Linked DNA regions of Cricetulus griseus. The protein of the gene in region 2 interacts with the protein of the main gene of each other region in a pairwise test. Links are inferred from orthologs where the notes say so. Each region holds a gene or a part of one and is shown on either strand. Other genes may lie near its edges.

What was found. The genes of interacting proteins can lie anywhere in the genome.
Region 1: the proteins of Tchp (region 2) and Dydc1 interact in binary tests that used the Homo sapiens proteins (3 or more experiments, as listed by UniProt). The two-hybrid records come from large-scale screens. The link is inferred for Cricetulus griseus from reciprocal best matches to the Homo sapiens genes TCHP and DYDC1.
Region 3: the proteins of Tchp (region 2) and Nab2 interact in binary tests that used the Homo sapiens proteins (3 or more experiments, as listed by UniProt). The two-hybrid records come from large-scale screens. The link is inferred for Cricetulus griseus from reciprocal best matches to the Homo sapiens genes TCHP and NAB2.

What each region holds. Positions count from the first base shown.
Region 1 is NW_023276807.1:179,044,756-179,049,631, forward strand, and holds the start of Dydc1 (DPY30 domain-containing protein 1), read right to left. Parts: upstream 3,318-4,876; coding exon 3,171-3,317; intron 2,726-3,170; coding exon 2,624-2,725; intron 1-2,623. UniProt on the Homo sapiens protein: Functions as part of axonemal radial spoke complexes that play an important part in the motility of sperm and cilia. Plays a crucial role during acrosome biogenesis.
Region 2 is NC_048597.1:94,317,691-94,322,561, forward strand, and holds the start of Tchp (trichoplein keratin filament-binding protein), read left to right. Parts: upstream 1-1,513; 5' UTR 1,514-1,658; intron 1,659-2,255; exon of another isoform or gene 2,256-2,290; coding exon 2,291-2,484; intron 2,485-2,829; coding exon 2,830-3,040; intron 3,041-4,751; coding exon 4,752-4,808; intron 4,809-4,871. UniProt on the Homo sapiens protein: Tumor suppressor which has the ability to inhibit cell growth and be pro-apoptotic during cell stress. Inhibits cell growth in bladder and prostate cancer cells by a down-regulation of HSPB1 by inhibiting its phosphorylation.
Region 3 is NW_023276806.1:130,077,564-130,082,440, forward strand, and holds the start of Nab2 (NGFI-A-binding protein 2), read left to right. Parts: upstream 1-1,560; 5' UTR 1,561-1,970; coding exon 1,971-2,053; intron 2,054-3,405; coding exon 3,406-4,279; intron 4,280-4,674; coding exon 4,675-4,808; intron 4,809-4,877. UniProt on the Homo sapiens protein: Acts as a transcriptional repressor for zinc finger transcription factors EGR1 and EGR2. Isoform 2 lacks repression ability.

The DNA of each region.
Region 1 (4,876 bases), on a different chromosome or scaffold from region 2:
CATCAGACAGCTAAGTGGGTAAAAGCACTGTCAGTGAGCCTTAGAACCTGAGTTCAACCCCCATAACATATGTAAAAGAAGAAGAGAACCAACCCCACAAAGATGCCCTCTGACCTCCACGTATGGGTCATTCGTGTACATGTTCTGCTCACCATCTCTGTGTAAACCATATACATATACACTCTCACAATAATATGTTTTAATTTTAAAAAGAAAGCAAATGTTCAAAATAAAAAATTTAAGATTGATCCCTTTTATCACTGCAGAATTTCTTCGTAAAAATTAAAACAAGCTTGCAAAAAATATTAAGCATCTAAGGAATTCATTTGTTCTCAAGGCAAGGAATGATATTTGCCAGCGTGAGTTAATTTAAATAGTGTTGATTTACATGCTCAAAGAAATGTGTCACCCTGCAAAATTTGTTTGTTTGTTTTGTTTTGTTTTATTCTTAAACTATTAGTAAGAAAGCTGGATGTCAGGTCTCAAACCTGGGACAATTGCTAACATATCAAAGTGGACCTGGCCACTACATTATCCTAGTATTCCTCAGTCCCTAACTGTTACAGGGTATGGCTGACATAGCCCACTTCCTAAACTTTTCCAGCCCAGGGGTTGGGGTGCCCTTTCCCCAGATGCCCTTGTCTATATAACCCAGACATATTGGTTACCAAACCCTTTTTGTTTACTCTCTACTCTCCCGGCTCTCCCCTTGTCCCTCTCCTCATGTGACCCAGCTCAGGATCATGTTCACTCTGGACTCTGATGTACCTGCCTCTGGCTATACTCTCCCCGTAAACTTTCTCCTCCACCATACCTAGGAGCAGTCATGTCTCTTTTATTTTTGTTTGTTTTTGTGTTTGTTTGTTTTTAGTCACTGATCAATTTGTTGACACTAGGAACAATATCAGCTGTCAACTAAAAACAAGTCAAATGCTTTTGAGCATTTTCTCTCAGCTTTTGTTGAGTTTTGTTTGCTTACTCTATTTAATTTTTGACAGTCTCACTATGTAACCTAGGCTAGGCCAGAACTTAAGATCTCCTCCCTCTGCCTTCCCAGAACAGGGATTGTAAGTGTGTACCACCTGCCCAGCTTTTTCTCTGGCTTTTGTTTAGGAGAGGATGCTGCAAAGGTGTCCATGAATTACTCTTGGAAACCCATCAGTGCTGAGTTGTAAATGACCTCGAGGAAGAAGCCAAATCCTCAGCCTCCAACTCAAACACTTCAGGGAGCAAGAGAAAAAGAATGATCTGCTACTTCTCATCTCAACACACTCCCTGTTAAGCCCTTTTCTGTTGGTTCAGCTCTCCTTCTCTTATCTACTTCTGCCCACCCATCCACTTCTTTAACTAACCATAACATCTCTTGTAGAATGTCATCCTACATTCCACACCCCCTGCAAATGAAATGCTTTGGGTTCAACATGCAGAAGATTAGCTTTGCTGGCTAACACAGCTATGAAAATGTTGAATTTCTAGTGTAACTAAAATTTTATTCCAGTAGAATGAAGTAGACGCATCAAAGGCTGTGAAGTATATCCCCATAGTGAACTCATTGTCTTGGGAAAGAAGAACAGCTGAGACTCCCTGCTTCTCTTCAGTAGAGACAGATCTAGCTGTAGAGGAGGACAGGTCCAAGTGGGCAGCACTACTACAGATGCTTGGCCTCCAAATACTACATCATACTTGTTTCAGAAATGCTTAAGACTGTAGTAAGATGACTCAGGTAAGGTACCCAAGACAACATGAAATTCAGTTATATTTTATCTTCTAACTGAAAGTAATCAAATACCACATTTTATCATTTTGCTATGTGAAACAAAGTTTAACGATGTGTAATTTTCCATTCCTTGACACCATGTAAGCACGCAAAAAGTTACATATTTAGAAATATTTCTTGTTTTGGGTTTCTTTTTTTTTTAGGTCAGGGATGTACAACCTACCCTTCCATCCTCCTAAGGTATTATTTCAGACCTTCATCATTCTTTCCATCCCTCCTACCTCATCACTTGATTCTTAAGTATATGGTCCTGGTTGATTCTTACCTCATAAAGTCACACCAAGTCAGCTTTCAACTTTGTGTCACAAGCCAATACACCCACCTACACCTAGCCACCTATGCTTTGTCTCTGAGCTGCAATAACAGAAAGGTTCATCCACTTGTTTTCCAGGCCCATTGCCTCTTTTTACAGTGGATAGAAGGTTTTAGATGGTTTTTTCGATTTTTCTATTACGTGTTCCATGTGTTCCTGAATCAAAATAAAACCCATTTCCCTTCCCCTCACAAACCCCGTTAAAGCATAATGCTCACTCACCATCCCCCTTCTTACCCTCTACACCTCACACTCACCACTGTTCCTGGAGAGACTGCCTGGGCTATAAATGAGCACCAGCTCAGCAGTGGTGCTGTTGACTATTCTCTGAATTGTTCTGTTTCCTCGTGGCACTGTCTCTTCACAAAAAAAAAAAAAAAAAAAAAAAAAAAAAAAAAAAAAAAAAAAAAAAGGATGGGGATACTAGGGAGCAATGTCTGAATGACCAGAGCCTGGGAGTATTTCCAGATGTGGGTTGTAGCACACCAAGGGTGACACTGTTAACTTCCATCATATTTGAGTGCTTGTCTTACCTGCTGAAATAAGAGTTCCTCAGCTTTGAGTCGCTCCAGCATTTCCTGCTCCATCAGTGCTAATTCTCTCTCATGCTCCAACTCAATCATCTCTTTCTGTCTCTAGCAATTGGTAAAAAGCAACAGCACACAACTTATTAGAGACCAATCTGTTAACACAGTCTCAGAGGCATCTCAACCACCAGCAATAAAAGAAGGGCTAAGAACATAATGCTCTATTCATTTGGAAACTATACAACAATTTGGGGGATTTTTATGATTTAGCCAAACAAAGAACACACAATTAAGATTATACATCAAATATAAAGAAAAATGAAACCAATCTACAGACAAACATGTCAGGAAAAGACACTACTGGGTTGAAAATACTTAAAATCAAAACAGAAGCCTTCTTTCTGTTTTCTCTCCTCTCTGCATTCACATACTGTCCAAAGTTTTCATATAATAAACATTATTGTAATGGAAAAACAATATTGAACATAAAATGTAAACAAGATGAACCAATTATCATGCTCTTCTAATTTCCTGAAAGGAGATCCATATTTACCAATTGCTCCATGATCACATTTTGCTTGTACTTATAAATCCACAAGGCTAAATATTCTATTGGATCCAATGGGCGGACTCTTGCCACTTCAGCGAGACCTTGAGTCAGGCATGTCCCCAGGCACTTTTGAAGATATGATGACTCCATTTTTAATTCCTAAATAAAATGATCTATAAAAGTTTTTCATTAGAGCCAAAAGTGTTCTGAATAGGCAGAGTTAAAAGTAAAGTCAAGCTAAGCAGTGGTGGAATTCATCTATAATCCCTGAACTATGGAGGCAAGTAGGGGCAGGCAGATCTCTGAACTTAAGGCCACCTTGGTCTATAGAGAGAGTTCTTGGTCTACAGAGAGAGTTCCAGGTCTACAGAGAGTACCCAGAGAAACCCTGTCCATATATATATATATATGGCTACCGGAACATTCCACTCTGTCACTAGTCATGGGTATTTCTTATTAAGGATGAAATAAGCAGGCTGGCCCAAGGAAACTCCAAATGGTCTACAAAAGGTCTCTGCAGAAGTCATAGTGAAAATAGCTACTACATCCTGACAGTTCTTGTTTAGTCCCAGGGTCAGAAATGGGCACTAGTGTTATTCATCACATTGTGCCAAGTAATGCTGGTGCCAGTTAATGCCCACAACATCTCAGGCAATGGTCAGACAGGGAAGCAAACTCAAAGAGCTTTAGTGAACAGTCCAGAGCACTTGACTGGCATGTGAATGTATGGTTTGTACCCACTGCCTGACCTCAGAACCTTAAGTCTATTGACTCTAAGATGCTTCTGCTATGTACTTCCATAAAACATCACAAACTGTCCATCTCTTCTGAAAAATCATGTATTGTCAAAGCCAGAGAATACAAATTCAGATTCCAATAAACAGCATGCAATTACTCATAATCTAGCCATAAACTTTAGGCTTACCTCAAGCACCTGCCTGTCATCATCCACCCTAGGCCCTTACTCTACCAAATATTCTGCCATTCTACACAACACACCCTGCACTTTTCCAACTCCACGATCCTCCCTCTATTGTTGGAACATGGCTCCTCACCTTCAAGGTACAGACCAGCTCTAGCTCTAAGAGTTTTTTCAACCAGTACAAGAAGGTTCCTCCTGCTTCAAGTAGTTCATACAGCCTTCATCATGCTGCCTGAGATGAGAGAGAGAGAGAGAGAGAACATGCATGCATGTAGGCATACCATGCACCTATGCTTGTCTTTCTTCTAGAAGACAGACCCCTCTAGGTTCCCAAGGAGTATTTTGGTCACAGGGCTAACAGCACTGAGCAAGTTTGTGCCCACTCCCAGCTGTTTCCCAGTCTTTTCAGATATGAACATTGTTGCATGGCTCCTTCTGGGTTGACTATTTCTATTTACCCCAGAAGGATAAAAGACTGAACATATGATTCTACTCAAGCTCAGAATTGTAACCCAGTGTATTTATTGGGATTGCCCACAGAAGCTACGGTAAGAATATATGTTCCAGTGAGAAGTTTACTAATATTGCTTTGTTAAACGTATGTAATCTGTCTGTCAGTTGCCTTCTAAACATCTGCATTTAGACCTACAGACTACCTCTGATATCCATGGTGGCATGGAGAAAAGTAGGGGAGATGAATATTAAAGACAAATCAGTAAATACAAAATTAAAACTGAAATGTGTTCTCTTAAGAGAAGACAACAGGGGCTCTGACAATCCAGGGAAG
Region 2 (4,871 bases):
AGGGTTTATCTATGTGAAGATAGAAAAGTGTAAAAGAATGAAATATGTTCCTGATTTCTCTATTTCTCATGCTACTGTTCATAGTAAAGTTCAACAATACCACTATAGGAACATAACTACAAGGTCAAGATTAAGATGCTTTTCATGGTCCCCCCAAAAAAATCTGTCTATTTTTAAATGGTAATACTTTCAGCCAAGTTGCTTCTAACATGAATATGCTTCTAACATGTCTAATACTTATGTTTCCACAAACTCTAAGGATTCTTGTAAGTTCCAGGGAGCCGAATCAGATCCAAACAGGTCAGATTCACTTCATGTAATATTCAACCTTTCCCCGGTCCCAAATTCCCTTCATTCATCTTGGGACTCCTCAGGAACCCCTCCCTCATCTTACAATCTTCCCCTCAAGTGACAGGATCTAAGAAAAAATTTTTTTCTAAACTTAACCTTGTCCTCTGCTCTGTCAACATCTTGCCAGGTCTAAGAGGCATCAGGGAGTTCCATACAGCCTGGACTTCAATGAAACAACCAGCTTCCCCAGGACGTGGCAGCACCCCAACCTTCTCGGGTCCCCCAAAGATGGTCAACGCCCCCCACATCAGCAGGAAGCAGTCTTGAGAATTCGACGCCCTTATTCCTTAACCTGCCATGTCTAACACCCCACCTTTTTAAAATAATAAGTAGAGGTGGGAATGAAAGGTTCAGGCATTATGCTGGCCTGCTCCTGTTACCTGGTGGAACAGGCAGTACCCTGGTCAGCCCAAGATTCCATGGGAACTAAGTCTGCACGCAGATACAGAGGACCCCTTTAAAAGGACAGGTCCCTGCCCATTTATGCTCTCTGTTTCCTCTCTGTTTCCCCACTCTGCTTTGTCTCTGCTTTCTCTCTACTCTGTCTCCCACCTATGCTCTCTCTCTGTCTCTCTATGGTGACCGACCATGGCAGTCAGCCATTACCCTGTTCCTCTTCTCTTAGTCTCCCTACTCTGCCGGGCCTTATAATAAACTTATAGTCTTATGTCTCATGTCTCAGCATTCTGGGTGCTGGGTGCTGGGGATTGTGAGTTCAGAGCTTTGCACTTGCTAAGCACACACAATCGCGGAGTTCCCCAGCCCTGCTTTTTTAAAAATGGAATAGTTAATGCATAAATACGTGCAATCATGTGAGTTACAGTTATTAAAACCTCTGTACCCACCAGTAATCCAAGACATCAGTAGGAATTTACCAAAGACTTGTAATTACCCAGACCAGCTGTTACTGGCCTCTGCTGCCTACCGGGCAACACCCAGGGAGCACTGAAAATCATTTCTTTTTCCCTCGGGGCGTCTCCCTGGATGATTTTGATGTGCCCTATTTGAGAAACATGGGCTTAATTCTCCTCTCTCCTATTCCCTTGGTTTTCACCCCCACCCCGGGGACCGCCACCCTGACTCTGGGTCATGACTCACTCTGGCACCTAGCGACACTTGCTGTCGATTTTCCTCCTACCGCGAGGGGGCGCCAGAACAACAACTTCCCTTCTTTTTCCTGGTGAGCGGCTGCGTCGTGCAGGAGGTACTTTGGCCTTCGCGGCCTCCGTCGTCCCGCGGGCTGCCGGGCAACCGAAGGGGAAACGGCTGGCGTCGCTGCCGCTGGCGCCACAGAACTCTCGGATCTGGTGAGCGCGTGCTCGGGCTTAGGCCGGAGCCTCTTCTTGGAGAACTTGGGGTGCAGGGAAACACAAGTCAGAGGCTAGGCTGGGCCGAGACGTCCGCTGTCTTCGCTGGTCGGAGGTCTCCGGACACCGGATGGGGTGCATGTCCGGTGCTCGCACACACTGATAACTAAGTCATCGCCTTTAGTTACTTTTGTTGCTCTGGGGACAGGGCTTCCTGTTTTGCCCAGATTGGCTTTGAACTCCTGGACTCAAGTGATCTCGTCCTGCTTCGGCCTCCAAAGTCCTTGGGGCTGCTGGGGCCTGCCGCGGAGCCCTGCTTGCCCCTGTCATTTTATGCCTTTCCCGGCCTTGTCAGGAAGATGTCTGTGTCGGTAACGTCCCTGATAATGGCTGGCTCGCTGCCGGGCACAGTCCAGGTTCATTTAATTTGATAATTTGCAGCCTCAGTGGCACATCATTTAAAACGTGCGGGCCTGGGCCTCGTTGTAAAGTTTTGGGTGGCAATGTGGATCCTAAAGCTGTTATAAAGGTGCAGCCAAAGGGCGAGCGCCCTCGTAAAAGACAGGAGACCATCCAAGTAAGTTCCTGAGTTTGCAGCTGGCTTCGATTCTGCCCGCTGATGTCCCCTTCAGATGGCGCTCCCCACGCTGCCCTCTTATTGGCTCACCCGGAGACCCCTGGACAAGAAGGTAGCACGCCAACGCCAGCAAGAGCAGGAGGCCCAGCTTCGCCAGCAGTGGGAGCAGAACAGCCGTTATTTCAAGACTACGGACATCCACAGCTCCAAACTGGCCGAATGGAGTTCCAAGACCTCCTACCAAAGGAGGCAAGTATCAATGTCCTGCCTGCTGATTCCTACCATTAGCTGCTGGGGGCATGTGGCCTCAGGGCCTAAGTACTGTGGCTTGTGACAGCATGAGTAATCTATATGGTGATGCTATTCTAGCTGGAAATGGGGTGGTGTGTGTGTGTGTGTGTGTGTGTGTGTGTGTGTGTGTGTGTGTGTGTGTGTAGAATAACCAGTGAAATAACATGCATTTTGAAAGATAAAATCTATCAGTCATCTTTTCTGTAGGTGTTTGTGTTTAAATACCCGCCCCCCAACATATATAGAAATGCATATGAAACTGTGGCCTGGGTGTGGCTGATTCTCAGTGGGCTCCTTACCTAGCATGAACGCCTACCATCGTGAGAAGATGAAGGAGGAGAAGAGGATGAGTCTGGAAGCCCGCCGTGAGAGACTCAGGCAGCTTGTGCTGGAGGAGCAGGACCTGCTGGCCGCTGAGCTGGAAGAGCTGAGGTTGAATGTGAACCTGCAGGAACGAAAAATCAGGGAACAGCACAAGGATCTGAAGTCAGCCCGAGAAGAACGAAGGAAACTGGTAACCAGCCTAGACCCAAACAAGGTTGCAGAGTGGGAGTGTCTGAAGGCTGAACTGACCGTTGCATCTGTGGGGTTATTCTTGGGTGCCTTGGTCAGATGAGTTGGCCAGATGATTCTAAGAGTCCATGGGGAAAGCACTTTATTTATTTAGGGAGAAAAAGTCTATTTTAGCTCTTGGCTTTAGATGGTCTCAAGCCATTAGAAGTAGGGTTTGGTTTATAACATTCAATGACATGCCGGGGGGGGGGGGCTGCTTCCTCGAGCTAATTCCTCACCACTAAAGGCACCCAGGCTCCTCTGAATAGTGCCACCAGCTGGGGAGCAATTATTTTTGCTGTTGGTTTTTTGTTGCTGTTTTGAACGTGTCTCACCATGTAGTCCTGGTTTGCCTGGAACTTTCTTTGTAGACCAGCCTGACCTCAAAGTCACAGAGACCTGGCTGCCTCTGACTTCCTCATGCTGGGATGAAAGGTGAATAACGTGCCTGGCTGAGGGCAAGCATTTAAAATGTGAGCCTGTGATCAGAACCAGATATGGTAGAATGTTAAGGATTTGCCGGAGGTGGGGAGGACAGCTATGTTTTTTTCTGAGACAGGGTTTCTCTGTGAAGCTGTGGTGATGTATCATTTATGTTTAATAAAGATTGCCTGAAGTATCAGAAAGCAAAGCCAGACCACTATTTAGCTGTAGAAGCCAAGCAGTGGTGGTACACACCTTTGATCCCAGGACTCAGGAGATAGGCAAGTTGATCTCTCTGAGTTCAAGGCCACCCTGGCCTACATAAGAGTGAAGAGTAACAGAGCTCTCATGCCTTAGATCCCAGCACTTGAGATCACATGTCTTTAATCCCAGCCCTAGAGAGGTTTATAAAAGACAGGAGCCCAGTGTCTCAGGCTGAATTCTGAGGTTTATTCTCCAGCCACGCTGAGGAGAGGCAGCAGTCTGAGGCTTGGTGAAGAGTTCCTGGAGACAGGACAGCCCTTTCAACCTGAGGTAGAGCTAAGAGCTAATGACTGGCTTTGCTTTCTCTACCTACGACACTTTTTATTAAATCATAAATAATGTATCACCACCACATGTAGCCCTGGCTGTCCTGGAACCCGCTGTGTAGACCAGGCTGGCCTCAAACTCAAAGATCCACCTGCCTCTGCCTCCCAAATGCTGGGATTAAAGGTGTGTGATGGCTAACATCTGGTTTTCTTTCTGTAAGAATGGAGTTAATACTGGCCACAGAACAGGGTGAATGAGTTTGCCAGCAAGAGTGAGGGCCGACAAAAAGCCAGGGCCCACTCTTAAGTGTCTTTACAGGGAGTGTTTGATATGTGGTAGCTCCCTTCTCTGCCTTACAAATCACTACAAGTGATTCCTCCTTCCTGTGCTCAGTTCTGTGGTTCCACAAAGGTCTGGGAACACTGTATTTTATCTTCAAGTGGCTATGGTAACTAGCCTCAGTCTGTGTGTTTCAACTTGCTATGGACTTGGAAACTCCTAGAAGGAAGCCAGCCATAGCATCAGATTTTAGCTAGCTCTTGGTCCATTCTGCTCAGATATCCTGTCCCCAGACTTGTGTGTAAGGAAAGCAGACTTGAGTGACAGATGTGTTGACATTGCTGAATGGAGGTCATGACCTCAGCTGACTTCTATTGGCTTTGTCTAGGTGAATGGATTTGAACATCGATGTATGGTGTTCTTCTGTGTTTTCTCCATAGATTGCTGAACAGCTTTTATATGACCACTGGAAGAAAAACAATCCTAGACTTCGTGAGGTGAGAATTAAGAGCCTTCCATTGCTTTGCCTGGGTAGGTGACATGGTGTTTTCAGATCGTGT
Region 3 (4,877 bases), on a different chromosome or scaffold from region 2:
CCCCTACCGCTCCACTAGCTGCCCTCTCCCTCCAGACCCCAGTAATCCGTGCCACCCCAAGGGGACCTGTGGGAGGGAAGGGGGGTGCCTGTAGCAAAAGCAGCGTGGGCGGAGGATGTGCGTCACGGGGAGCGTGGGCAGGGGGAGGGCGGGGGCACGAGGAAACCCGGGACGGCGCTGGCAGCCCAGACTCCAAAATAACCGGACGGGGGAGTGGGGGAAGGGCGCCACACACCCCGAAGGGATCGGGTACCTCCTAGGGAGGCCGTCTGGTCTCGCAGGCAAACGGGGTCGGAAGGAGGCCGGTGCTGCTCCTCCCTACCGCGTTGGGCATTTAACGGGATGAAGACAAAACCCCGGAGTTCTTGAAATCGTTCCCCACTCGAAAAAGAACCCATCCCTCTAACTGGAAACCGAGAGAGATTCCCTGGCCAGTCTGGAATGAATGTGGAATGTAGAACCCGCCCTGGCCCACGCCACCCACGCCCTGGCAGGGCGAGCCACTCACAAGTGCGGAGCCGAGGGGCGGGGCTGGGGCTTGGAACTAAAGGGATGTTGCCTGTGGCCAGTCCGCAGCGTTTCCCACCGCCCTTTTCCCCAAGGCCTGCACGGCCCTGCGTGCCCAGCCCCCCCCCCCCCAGCCCTCCTAGCCGTGGGCGTGTGTAATGGGAACCAGATGGGGCTGGAAGAAACGGAGGGGGCTGGGCTCCTTGAAGGCGCTCCTCCACGGTGGGCTGTCTTGCAGTCTAGTCGTTCACCTTCCCTTACAGGGTGTCCAGAGATGTCCGATGACACACGACCCCAGAAAAACGTAGCCGCCTTTTCCTGCCTTTGCCACCCAATCGTCCAAGCAATAAGGCCTGGTCATCACAAAAAACGGTGCCACGAATAGAGGAAAGCATGGGGTATCCCCATCCCTGCCCTACCTAGCAAACCCCGACGTGCGTGCCTAATGGAGGCCCGAGGAAGTTGTAGCTTCTAGCATAACCCATCTATTAAACTTCGACAACTAGAGACAGGCAGGGAGACGACAAGGTTTCTGGGGGCCGCCTCTTCAAATTACAACTTTTAGGGCCAGAGAAGGGTGGCCAGGCTCGGCAGGAATTCCTGCGAAGCCCCACACCCACAGGTTTTTAACCCTAAGCGTGCATCCTAGGAGGAGGAGAGGAACCTCACACCCGAGCCTTCACCAACTTTTCCCCGCTCACTCCTAGCATTCAAACGAACGGCCAACGGCCGGAGTGCCAGAGTGCCGGAGTTGTGGGCACCGGGCGCCCGCGTCGTTGTTGTTTGGACGCCTGTGTGCACGTAAGTGCGCTTCGGTGTCTTTGTATACTTGTGCGTGGTTGTGAAACCGCGCTCTCGGCTCACAGGGGTAGGAGTGGTGCAGGGAGTAGGAATGTAGCCGGCGGGGTGCTCACGTGGGTACGTGGGCGCAGAGAGGGCCGGCTGTGCATCCGGCGTGGGCGGCATGGAGCGACCTGCCCCGCCCGTTGGGTCTCCAAGCTCCCGCCCTCCACAGCCCGGCCTCGGCCACCTCGGTCCCCAACTTGGCGCCCGACTCTCGAGTCACCGCCTCCGCCTCCTGCTCCACACCTTTCCCCCACCCCCAAGTCTCCTCCTCTCAGTCCCCTCAACAGCCTCTCGGAGGCCTCGGCTCCCACCCCCCGCCTCCGGTCCCAGCCCCCGGTTCTGCCCACGCCCTCCTCCCGCCAGCCCGGCAGCCAGCGCAGCGCCCGGCCTCGCTCCCCGTGCGTCCTGCGGGGGAGGAGGCGCGGAGAGGCGGCAGGCGCAGCCGGGGAGGTGGGGGCAGAGGCACACACAGAGGCGCGGAGGCTCGGAGAGAGGAGACGTGGAGGGAGGGACGGAGCCTGGACAGCGGTGGACGGGGACGCGCGCGCCAGGCAAAGCGCAGCGCTCAGCAGGCGCCGGGAACCGAGAGGGGAGGCTCGGGTGATCTCTGGCCTTCCATGCACAGAGCGCCCTCTCCTACAGCGGAGCAGCCACCTGGCAGAGGGGATAACACCCGCCGGACCCCGCAGCCCCGACTCAAGTTAGTGGGCAAAAGGAGGTGTCGGGGAGTGGAGATGGGTGGAGCTGGACTCGGGAATGGGGTCCGGGAGGGTGGAGGTCTCAAAGAGGACGTGGGGAGGCTGCAAGGGGGTGGGAGGTGGAGACTGATAGAAGAGGGGGTAAGTGTTCGAATTAGGGGACCTTGGGAGCAAACAAAGACCGGATGAACCTGGATACGCTAGAGTACTGCCTCGTTTTCCATTCCAGGCTTGCTCAGTGGGCATGACCTGGCACGTGAGCCCCCTGAAAAGAATGTCCCCAAGCGCCAGGGGAAAGCTCCAGACCTTGATCTGACAACAGTGAGAGGGGTGGGGGCGCTTAGCTGGTTCAGTGTCACTAGAAGGTGGCACCATCCCTAGGTCCGGGTTCTTTTGGGTTAAGGGGCCGTCTTTGGGGCTTGAAGGGGGCGTGCTTCAGGCGCCCCTTCTCATTAAATGACCACAGCGTAAGGAGGGGTAGTTTCCCCTTGGCAGCCCCTTCCTCAGGAGGCCTTCAGCCGCTCCCTCACTCCCTTTCAGAAGATTAGGGTGGAAAATAAGGGAGACGAGAGTAGGCGGGAGCCCCCAGGCGGTTTTCGCCCACAGACGCTGCCACTGTAGGAGTGTGTGGGAAGAAGGGCCCCGGAGCAGAACAATCAAAGCTTCCCTCCCCCATTGCCTGAGAAGAAGAGAGGGGCTTGCTGAATAGTGGGGAGGGCCACATGAAGGGAGGGGGGCAACTGGAGGGTACCGGGCAGCCTGGAAAGTTGAGACAGATACTCGGAGGGTTTGGTAACTTCTAATCTCAGAAAACTGAGAGCAGAGGCGCCAAAGGTCCAATAGGTTCACTGAAAAGCCAAGGAAGAGGCCACACCCCTTCCTCTCAGCTACCTGGGCAAGGAGTAGCCCCTCGTTTCCTAAGTTAACTTTAATGTGGGATGTTACATGCATAACGTTGAGGCTGCTGAGTGGGGGAGGGGGAAGGACTGTAATTTTGGGTAAAGTGGGTCTAGCCATTTCAGGGAAGTGCTAGTGGGCCTTCCGTGTTCAAGGTTGTGCTGCCCCAGACCAGAAAGATCAAAGCAAAAGATGAGGTAAGGGGTTTCCCGACAGCTGTAGATAGGGCACTGGTTTTCGGTGCTTCTGGCTAGTCTGAGATTGCCGGCATGGGCACGGCTATGCCTCTGAGCAATACTCAGTTCTCAGAGTACTCGGCCTTGGGCACTGGGCAGAGAAGGCATTCAAAAGAGAAGGGATGAGGAGGAGGAGGCAGAAAAGAGAGGAGAATTGTTAGTGTGGGTTGGTACCCAGCAGGGCACTTGTACTCACTGCCTCTCCTGCCCTTCCTTCTCAGGGCAAGTGCCTCGACCATGGCACTGCCTCGAACGCTGGGTGAGCTGCAGCTGTATCGGGTCCTGCAGCGTGCCAACCTCCTTTCCTACTACGAGACCTTCATCCAGCAGGGAGGGGACGATGTGCAGCAGCTGTGTGAAGCCGGTGAGGAGGAGTTTCTGGAAATCATGGCACTTGTGGGCATGGCCACCAAACCACTCCATGTCCGACGTCTACAGAAGGCTCTGAGAGAGTGGGCCACCAACCCAGGGCTCTTCAGCCAGCCAGTGCCTGCTGTACCCGTCTCCAGCATCCCACTTTTCAAGATCTCTGAGACGGCGGGTACTCGGAAAGGGAGCATGAGCAATGGGCACGGCAGCCCGGGAGAAAAGGCAGGCAGTGCCCGAAGTTTTAGTCCCAAGAGTCCCCTTGAACTTGGAGAGAAGCTGTCACCGCTTCCTGGAGGACCTGGAGCAGGGGATCCCCGGATCTGGCCGGGCCAGAGTACTCCAGAATCTGACGTTGGAGCAGGCGGAGAAGAGGAGGCTGGGTCACCCCCTTTCTCCCCACCTGCATCGGGAGGAGTCCCCGAGGGGACTGGGGCGGTGGGGATGGCTGCCGGTGGGACTGGGGGTGGTCCAGACCGCCTGGAACCGGAAATGGTACGGATGGTGGTAGAGAGTGTGGAGAGGATCTTCCGGAGTTTCCCCAGGGGTGATGCTGGAGAGGTCACATCCCTGCTGAAGCTGAATAAGAAGCTGGCGCGGAGTGTGGGCCACATCTTTGAGATGGATGACAACGACAGCCAGAAAGAAGAGGAGATCCGGAAGTACAGCATCATCTATGGCCGCCTGGACTCCAAGCGGCGCGAGGGCAAGCAGCTCAGCTTGCATGAGGTGAGGGCCCAGGTTCTCAGGACTGCCCTTAACTTCTGGAGTTCAGTCGATTGGCCCCTGGGAATTCTTGCATCCTCAAACTCTGGATCATTGTCCCCTTGGCCACCCGAGTTCCATGCACGCACACACTCCCAGCCCCAGCTGCTGTTGTACCTCCACCAGCTGAAGGGCAAGCTGAGATGGCAGTGAGCCCAACTGTCCAGCTGCTGAAGTCCCCTCAGATACAGAGGAGGTCCTGGTTGGGACGCTATGAGTCCCTCCCGTCTAACCTTCGGGATGTTCCTGGGTTTTATTTAAAGCTAGCATCCCTTGGATGGGCTCCCCCTCCCCCCTGGCGGTGAAGGGGTGAAACAGTAGGAGAATCGGCATTCACACTGGCTGTCCTCTTGCCACAGCTGACCATCAACGAGGCTGCTGCCCAGTTCTGCATGAGGGACAACACACTTTTACTTCGAAGGGTAGAACTCTTCTCATTGTCCCGCCAAGTAGCCCGAGAGAGCACCTATCTTTCCTCCTTGAAGGGATCCAGGTGAGACCCCCCCCCCTTCCCTGGGCCACCTTTGGTTGGAATCCTGCCAGAGTTGGACATCTCCTCACT